2 linked regions of the Macaca mulatta genome follow. The protein of the gene in region 1 interacts with the protein of each later gene in a biochemical or structural test. Links are inferred from orthologs where the notes say so. Each region holds a gene or a part of one and is shown on either strand. Other genes may lie near its edges. The genes, in order: leukocyte immunoglobulin-like receptor subfamily A member 4 and BST2.

Region 1 (4,362 bases):
TGAAGGGGGAAGGTGCACAGCGGAGGGCCCAGCCCACGGGAGGGTGGAAACACACAGGAACCTCCCACCCAGGGGAAGGTCTAGCCAGGGGAGTGTGGAAATAGATGGGGACTTCCCACCCGGGGCTCCCAGCCCTGAAGTCTCAGTAGGGTAAAGAGTGGAGAGGACTGGAAGGAGGTGGGGGTGAGCCTCGGAGGAGATGAGATTAGACTGAGGGTGGAAGACGGAGGCCCCACACACTCTGCTGCTGATGTCTCCATCTCAGAATCAACGTCTGGGTGTCCCAACCTCTAAGTCCTGACCCCATGGGAGATGAAAACGCAGTTACTCTGACCCAGTATAATATTCTAGACTCGTCTCAACCTTATCTCCAATATTCAGGAAAGGGAGCAGAGGGGAGAGTGGACAAAAGGGGCATAGTCCACGTGGCTTCCTGGGGCCCCGAGGATGGGGCAGGTGTTCCCTCTGTGGTGGTCAGAGGGGAGGGAGGTGTCCTAGGACCAGGCAGGAAGGAGGGAGCAGCGATGATGGGCAGAGGAGCTAGGTCTGTCCTCCTCTATCTGAGCAGGATTTGGGGTCCCGGGGTCCAGGCCTGACATGGACAAGGGGAAGACGCTGAGGCTGTTTATATCAACCATAAAAAACTGGAAATTTCACTTTTATATTTCCAAATTGTAAGCCCCTCTTTCTCACCTCAACTATGAATATATATGTAGTTAAATTATATATATATATTTTTTTTTTTTTTTTTTTTGAGATGGAGTCTCGCTCTGCCGCCCAGGCTGGAGTACAGTGGCCGGATCTCAGCTCACTGCAAGCTCCGCCTCCCCGGTTCACGCCATTCTCCTGCCTCAGCCTCCCGAGTAGCTGGGACTACAGGCGCCCGCCACCTCGCCCTGCTAGTTTTTTGTATTTTTTAGTAGAGACGGGGTTTCACCGTGTTAGCCAGGATGGTCTCGATCTCCTGACCTCGTGATCCACCCGTCTCGGCCTACCAAAGTGCTGGGATTACAGGCTTGAGCCACCGTGCCCGGCCTACATTATATTTTTTAGGACAAATATCTAAAGCCACATATACATATGTATCTACAATCATTGTATTAATCAGTTCTCACACTGCTATAAAGAACTACCTGATGGGCCGGGTGCGGTGGCTCACGCCTGTAATCCCAGCACTTTGGGAGGCCGAGGCAGGTGGATCATGAGGTCAGGAGATGGAGACCATCCTGGTTAACACAGTGAAACCCCATCTCTACTAAACATACGAAAAAATTAGCCGGGTATGGTGGTGGGTGCCTGTAGTCCCAGCTACTTGGGAGGCTGAGGCAGCAGAATGGCGTGAACCTGGGAAGCGGAGCTTGCAGTGAGCTGAGATTGCGCCACGGCACTCCAGCCTGGGTGATAGAGCGAGACTCCGCCTCAAAAAAAAAAAAAAAAAAGAACTACCTGAGGCTGGGCACGATGGCTCACGCCTGTAATCCCAGCACTTTGGGAGGCCAAGGCAGGCGGATCACCTGAGGTCAGGAGTTAAAGACCAGCCTGGCCAACATGGCAAAACCCTGTCTCTACTAAAAATACAAAAATTAGCTGGTCGTGGTGGCAGGTGCCTGTAATCCCAACTACCCAGGAGGCTGAGGCAGGAGAATCTCTGGAACCTGGGAGGCAGAGGCTGCAGTGAGCTGAGATCGCACCATTGCTCTCCAGCCTGGGGGACAGACAAAGACTCTGTCTCAAAAACAAACAAACAAACAAAAACCTACCTGAGATTGGGTAATTTATAAAGGAAAGAGGTTTAACTGACTCACGGTTCCACAGGCCATACAGGAAGCATGGCTGGGGAGGCCTCAGGAAACACAATCATGGCGGAAGGTGGAGGGAAAGCAGGAACGTCTTCTGAGGCTGGAATAGGAGGAAGAGAGAGAACGGGGAGGTGTTGCCCACTTTTAAATAACAAGATCTCATGAAAACTCACTATCATGAGAGCAGCAAGGGGGAAGTTGGCTCCCACGAACCAGTTACCTCCCACTGGGCCTCTCCTCCGACACTGGGGATTAAAATTCAACATGAGATTTCAAAGGGACACAAATGCAAACCATGTTAATCACATGTATTTTATAAGCCATGTTAATCACATATATTTTATATGAATATATGTACTATGTACATATATAGACACAAACATACATTCAAGTATTCATTCCTATGCTTAATATTTTTCATCATTTTTTTATATTTATTTGTTTTTATTTTTTATTTTACTTCAAGTTTGGGTATGTTTTTAAATATTTGCTTTCACCTTCCAATCTAGGTTCATACTTCAAAAAAGCAGAAATGATGTTTTTCTGTCCCGCTCAGTCATTATCATTTAGAAAACAATACATTTTCATATTTAAGTATATCACATTGTTGGTGTTCCTAACTGTATGAAGAATTAGTTAACAAGACAGTAAACGAATGATGAAACCGCAGGGGAGCTGGCTGAGGCAGCACGCAGCGGGGGCCATCGCAGCCTTCAGTCCTTGTACTCCTGACTTTCAAGAGCTACCGAGGACCAACTCCTCATCCACAGAGACTGGGTCCTCATCCACTGAAAAATGGAAATTTCTGTCTCTGGGGGAATTAGTTTTTATGTTCTTGTTGCACAAGATTGCACATCCAAGACAGCACACAAGAGCTCAATTCTTTCTAGTTGGGAGATCATTCTTCTCACTAGTCCTGAGCTCTTGGGCTCAAGGAAACGTTGTTCCAAAGTGACTCAGACACAAGATCTGAATTCCCAGAGCAGAGAGAGGTTGAAAACCCCAATGACATACCAGGGGAGGCCTGCTAGAGCAGAGAATGTGTTCACTAAGGATCTACATAAAGCCACACCATGAGAGATGGAGGAATATAAGAAAGCAGAGCCTGGGGGAGAGGCTCTTCAGCTTCTTGCCAACATCCTTGTTCTTTGATTTTTAGAAGCAACTGAGACCCTCAATCCAGCACAAAATAAGTCAGATTCCAAGACTGGTGAGTGAGGAGATGCTCCCAGTTATGGGGCTGGGCACAGAGGGTCAGGTCCTGTCAAGGGGAGGTGGGTACCCTGGGTGGACATCCAGGGGTCCTGGGTAATCATGATCTGCCCTGACCTCTGTGACCTCTTTGTCCACCATCCCTAGCCCCACACCTCCAGGATTACACAGTGGAGAATCTCATCCGCATGGGTATAGCTGGCTTGGTCCTGGTGTTCCTTGGGATTCTGTTATTTGAGGCTCAGCAGAGCCAGAGAAGCCCCACAAGGTGCAGCCAGGAGGTGAACAGCAGAGAAGACAATGCACCCTTCAGAGTGGTGGAGCCCTGGGAACAGATCTGATGATCCCAGGAGGTTCTGCAAGACTGGGGCAGCAGTTGGGGAAGTGTCTGCTGAGAATATCAAGGGGAAGCAGCATGGGTCAGGTGCAGGAAGGTGTCTGGGTGTCTGTAGAAGATGCTTCCTCCACTAAACTGTGGTGCTTTCCTCCTCATTGTTGACTCTCCTTGACTGCCCCTCCCTTCCTTTTTCTTCCCTATGATGTAAGGTTTTGCCCCTATGGTGAGTTTGGGTCCACTCCTCTGTGACCTCATGCTCTGCTCCACTTTCAGGTAATACATCTTTCTTTATTTCTAGCTAGTGCATTTTCTGATGTGTATTACTGGGACTATCTTTTCAGCTCATAATATGGAATTTGCTTTTGATAATTAAATCCATGTGCAAAAATCAGATTTGCATTTGCAAAATTTAAGTTCAAAGTGATGCCCTACCACCTGTCACTCTCCATCTGTTGTTTCTCTAGAAATACAGTCACTAGGAATCAAAAGAGAGGTGTCTGATGGAAAAGCCTGCTGTTGTGCCCATAGACTGGCTTCCTGAACGACAACAAAAACGTTTTCTAAAAAGCATTTATTTGTGGAATTTGTTGATGACTGTGGTATAAACACTCCCTTCATGGGCAGCTTCAAGATTCTCACATGACTGCACCTTCCCCGACCTGCTGTCACACCCCAGTCGGAGCTGGTGGTCTTGGGTTGACGGTCTTGGGTGAAAGGTCCTGACCCTGCCCTCTCTAAGTTCGAAGGTTCGGCTCAGGCCCTGCCCCCAGGAGCGCTCTGGGCAGAGATGGAGTGAAGGGGGCTCTGAGGGAGGCTCGGCCACAGAGGAATTCGCCCCTCAGAGGAGAGGAGGCCAACAGCGGTTCTCCCTCGTCTCCTTCACCTGGAGTCCAGAAGGTGCTAGGTGGGGAGAGGGAGGGTCTTGGAGAGGCCACCGGGCAGATGGAGGGGAGAGCTTTGAGTGGAGGTGGGGACTGCAGGATAGCTCCAATTCCTCAGTCCCTTTCTGTGCCC
Region 2 (4,565 bases), about 49 Mb from region 1:
CAGAGGCAGGCAGATCACTTGAGCTCAGGAGTTCGAGACTAGCCTGGTTAACATGATGAAACCCCGTCTCTACTAAAAGCACAAAAAAACTAGCCAGGTGTGGCCAGGCGTGGTGGCTCATGCCTGTAATCCCAGCACTTTGGGAGGCCGAGGCGAGTGGATCATCTGAGGGTCAGGAGTTCGAGACCAGCCTGTCCAACATGGAGAAACCTAAACCTCTCTACTAAAAATACAAAATTAGCTGGGCATGGTGGCACATGCCTGTAATTCCAGCTATTCAGGAAGGCTGAAGCAGGAGAATCGCTTGAACCCGGGAGGCAGAAGTTGCGGTGAGCCAAGATCGAGCCACTGCACTCTAGCCTGACCAACAAGAGCAAAACTCAGTCTCAAAAAAAAAAAAAAAAAAAAAAAAAATTAGCCAGGCCGGACCACACCTGTAGTCCCAGCTACTGGCAAGGCTGAGGTGGGCAAATCAGTTGAATCTGGGAGGTAGAGGCTGCAGTAAGCCGAGATCGTGCCACTGCACTCTGCACTCCAGCCTGGGCGACAGAGGAAGACTCTGTCTCAAAAAAAAAAAAAAAAAAAAAAGAAAGAAAGAAAAAGAAAAGAAAAGAAAAAGGAAAGAAAAGAAAAGAAAGAGCCTCGCTATATGTCCATGTTCAAGCATTATCTTCCCATCCATCTGCCCTGAGCCACAGGCCTGGCAGGTGGCATGCGCATCCATTGAGCACCTACTGGATACCAAAGCACTTACTTTACTGGCATCTTCTCCCTGGTCACTCCTGGAGAGGCTGGCCCTGTTATTCCCCTTTACAGATGAAGAAACAGGCTCAGAGAGTTTACTTGGTATCCTGGAGTCCCAGGAGCACTTTTTCTGAAAGTTGAAGCCTGTTTCCTGCGGGTGCCAGGACAGAGTCCAACACTGTTTGTTGACTGGGGTATCCTCTCACCTGGGCTGTGTGTGCCTATCCAGTCCCCCAGTTTTCAGCTGGCTCCAGTCTCACCTGCTGCTCACACACCTTCCATGGCTCCCATAGTCCCCTCGGTGGGGACAGGGGCACTGGATGAAGCCCTGCTAGTCACCACAGAGACACCTGAACACAAAACCAAGTCCCTAGGGTCAGACCCAGGCCCTGCCCTCACTCAACTGTGCAATCTCAGTTTCCCCAGGTGGAGACTGGACCAACAATGATGGCCTCTGCCTCTTCAGGTCATGGTACAGATGAATACCATGGCCTAGGCACTCAGTAACACACAGCAGAAGCACAGGGACTTAAGATAGAGTCTCCCAGGCAGCCACAGTTGGCTGGCACCCAGTTGGGAAGGGCCCGAGGCCTTTTAAAGCAGGGTTGAAAAAAAAGCCCACCTCCTTTCTGGGAAACTGAAACTGAAAGCTCTAATTAATCCTCTGCCTGTAGGTGCCTCATGCAAGAGCTGCCGGTCAGAGCACTTCCTGGAACTTGCTATTGGTCAGGACGGCTCCTATGCTAATAGGGGGTGGCCCATAGAAGATTCCAGTACCCTCCCCTAACTTCAGGCCAGACTCCCTTCAGCTAGAGGGGAGATCTGGATGGCACCTATTTTGTATGACTATTGCAAAATGCCCATGGGTGACATTTGGAAGGAAGACGGGGACAAGCGCTGTAAACTGGTGATAGGAATTCTGGGGCTCCTGGTCATAGTGCTTCTGGGGGTGCTCCTGATTTTCTTCATCATCAAGGCCAACAGCGAGGCCTGCCAGGATGGCCTCCGGGCAGTGATGGAGTGTCGCAATGTCACCTATCTCCTGCAACAAGAGCTGGCCGAGGCCCAGCGGGGCTTTCGGGATGCAGAGGCCCAGGCTGTCACCTGCAACCAGACTGTGGTAAGCACCTCAACTCCTTTGGATGGCCTAGTACTAGGGGGTAGGGAGGACAATAATCTCTCCCCAGAAATCTGACACAGGGTGGGTCTCCAGGGAGATGCAAGGGAGGTCCCAAAACTGTTCCTGGGCCCCCACATCAAGGGACCTAGGTTCCCCTACCAGAGTATGGGGGCCTCTAACCCAGTCCAGGACACTGGTGTAGGGGCAGGGTGTTAAAACTCTCCAGAGCCCCCAAATCAGGGACCTCAGTATACCCCCCGGGACTTAGGTGAGTTGATAAATTCTTTCCAGGGCACTGGTGTTGGGAGCCTTGAAGCTCCTAGTGGGCACCAGTCCTGGGGGAGTAGAAACCCCTATTCAGGGTTGAAGGGGGACCTCACCAGACCCTGAAAAAGGGGGCTTTTGAAATTTTCACTTCATCACTAAGAAACTGAAATATTCACCTGGGTCCTGATATGGGGGATCTTGAAACTCTTGCTGAGCATGTCACTTGGGCTGGGAAATCCCACTGCGTTCTGGATTTGGTAGGGCCCTCTAACTTTTCTTGAGCCATAGACCAGGCAATCTGGAAACGTCTACTAAAGTGTGGTTATCGACAGTCTCCAACTTGCCATGTGGGGGGTCTCAAAACTCCCATTTTGAGGACCCACATGCTTATGGGTGGCCCTGGGAGAGTATGTGGTTGTGGCTGTTCTTTAAGGTTGGAGAACATGGTGCAGAGAGGGTTGGAAGAAAACCTGAAAGGGTTTGCATTTAAGGACAGCAGCCAAACTCCCCAGGCCAGAACCCCAGATTCTGACTCTTCTTAGATGGCCCTAATGGCTTCCCTGGATGCAGAGAAGGCCCAAGGACGAAAGAAAGTGGAGGAGCTTGAGGGTGAGAAACAGAGAAGGGAGAGGGCTAGGGAGGGGTGACTCAGCTATGGAAGACGGGGTGGGGGCAGGGAGACCAGGGCTGGAGGTTGGGGGAAGGGGGAGGTCCTGTCCCAGAGTGGGGCCGGGCCCCAGCATGGCCACGTGCTGCCCCGCCCCCTGATTCTGTCCTCCCACCCCACCAGGGGAGATCACTACATTGAACCACAAGCTTCAGGACGCGTCTGCGGAGGTGGAGCGACTGAGGTCAGAGATAACCTTCCCCGCTACCCTCCACCCGCCACACTCCTCTCACCCCCACGTCCCTACCCCGAGACCCAGGATCTCCTTTGCTCCCAAAATCCCCATTGCCCCAAGGGGTAAGGTTTGAGTCCCACAAAAGGACAACTTAGCCCCTAGGGTCACAGAGCCATGGGTGGCCCCAGTCCATTCCCTCCCCAGTGACTTGGATTGGGGCGGTGCGGGGGGAACTCCCGGGGGCGATGGGCTTACAGGGAGGGCGGCAGGAGCCAGGACGAACAGATGCCTGATTTGCCCCCATTTGCACCGCAGAAGAGAAAACCACGTCTTAAACGCGAGAATCGCGGACACGGACTCCGCCAGCTCCCAAGACTCCAGCTGCGCGGCAGAGCCCCCGCTCCTGATTCTGCTGCTGGGCTTGAGCGCTCTGCTGCTGTGAGATCCCAGGAAGCTGGTCAGTGAGGAGGGGGCGGCCCCGGGAGGGAGAAGAAAGCTGGGGAGGGGGGTCGGGGAAGCAGGGACTCCGAAGTCTGGAGAGAGGGGCTGCAGGGGGAGGGACTGGGTGCAGAGGAGAGAGGCCTTGGGGAAGGAGGGAGAATCCAGTGAGAAGGGCGCCCTGGAGGGGGGGTGGGGCTTATAGCAGTATGGGGCGGGGCTATGAATGAGGGCGGGTCTATCGATGGAGGGGAGGGGCTTATGGATGGGTGGGGCGGGGCCCGTGTCTGCTGCCTCCAGTCTGCCCTGAGTCCCTCTTCTGGTCCTTTAGGCATATCTTGGAAGATCCGGTTCCTGCTCGACTTTTCGCCTGGACATGCCCTTGATCTCATCAGTTCTGAGCGGGTCATGGGGCAGCACGGTTAGCGGGGAGGGCACGGGGTAGCCGGAGAAGGGTCTCTGGAGCAGGTCTTGAGGGGCCATGGGGCAACCCTGGGTGTGGGGACACAGTCGGGTTGACCCAGGGCTGTCTCCCTCCAGAACTAGGCAGGGAATGAGTCGCCCCTCTTGTTTCCCGCCCTGAGATTGGGCATGGGGTGCGGTGGGGGGGGCACGTGCTGCCTGTTGTTACGGGTGTTTTATTTTTTTGCGGGGGGGGTGTGTGCTTTTTCTGGGGTCTTTGAGCTCCAAAAAATAAACACTTCCTTTGAGGGGGAGCACACCTTACTCTCGAGTTCCTGAAGTGTCATTGTGTTAGTCCCTAAGCGTCGGGGCCGCCCCTGCCGGTGAGAGTGGACTCCCCGTGGATGACAACACCTCCCTTCCCTGCTCCAGGACATTTTCAGGAGCCCACGGAGTTCGGGGAGGCACCACCCCGGTTCCTCCCAGCCCTCATGTCTGCTGGGATCAACATAAGGACTGTACACCCTCATCAGGGCTCCCCGTTTCCCAGGTGTTTTATTCTCATCTCCTCCCTAGAGCCTCTCCTGATTCCTGGGGATCCAGTGAGGAAACTGAAGCTGTAACTGAGAGTAACATCGCCTTGCTTCCCCTCCGGCCTGCAGAAAGTGCTGGGCTGGGATTTAAACTGGGATCTGTACACACACAGGCCATGCATTGTCAGAATGTGTCCCCCTCCTTCATCCCCCAAACTT

The links.
Region 2: the proteins of leukocyte immunoglobulin-like receptor subfamily A member 4 (region 1) and BST2 form a complex in vitro, tested with the Homo sapiens proteins (2 studies listed by IntAct). The link is inferred for Macaca mulatta from reciprocal best matches to the Homo sapiens genes LILRA4 and BST2.

Annotation. Positions count from the first base shown.
Region 1 is NC_133424.1:66,650,150-66,654,511, reverse strand, and holds the end of leukocyte immunoglobulin-like receptor subfamily A member 4, read left to right. Parts: intron 1-2,958; coding exon 2,959-3,009; intron 3,010-3,098; coding exon of another isoform or gene 3,099-3,127; exon of another isoform or gene 3,128-3,158; coding exon 3,159-3,352; 3' UTR 3,353-3,736; downstream 3,737-4,362.
Region 2 is NC_133424.1:17,890,692-17,895,256, reverse strand, and holds BST2 (bone marrow stromal antigen 2), read left to right. Parts: upstream 1-1,540; 5' UTR 1,541-1,570; coding exon 1,571-1,864; intron 1,865-2,673; coding exon 2,674-2,740; intron 2,741-2,921; coding exon 2,922-2,982; intron 2,983-3,288; coding exon 3,289-3,415; 3' UTR 3,416-3,430; intron 3,431-3,742; 3' UTR 3,743-4,137; downstream 4,138-4,565.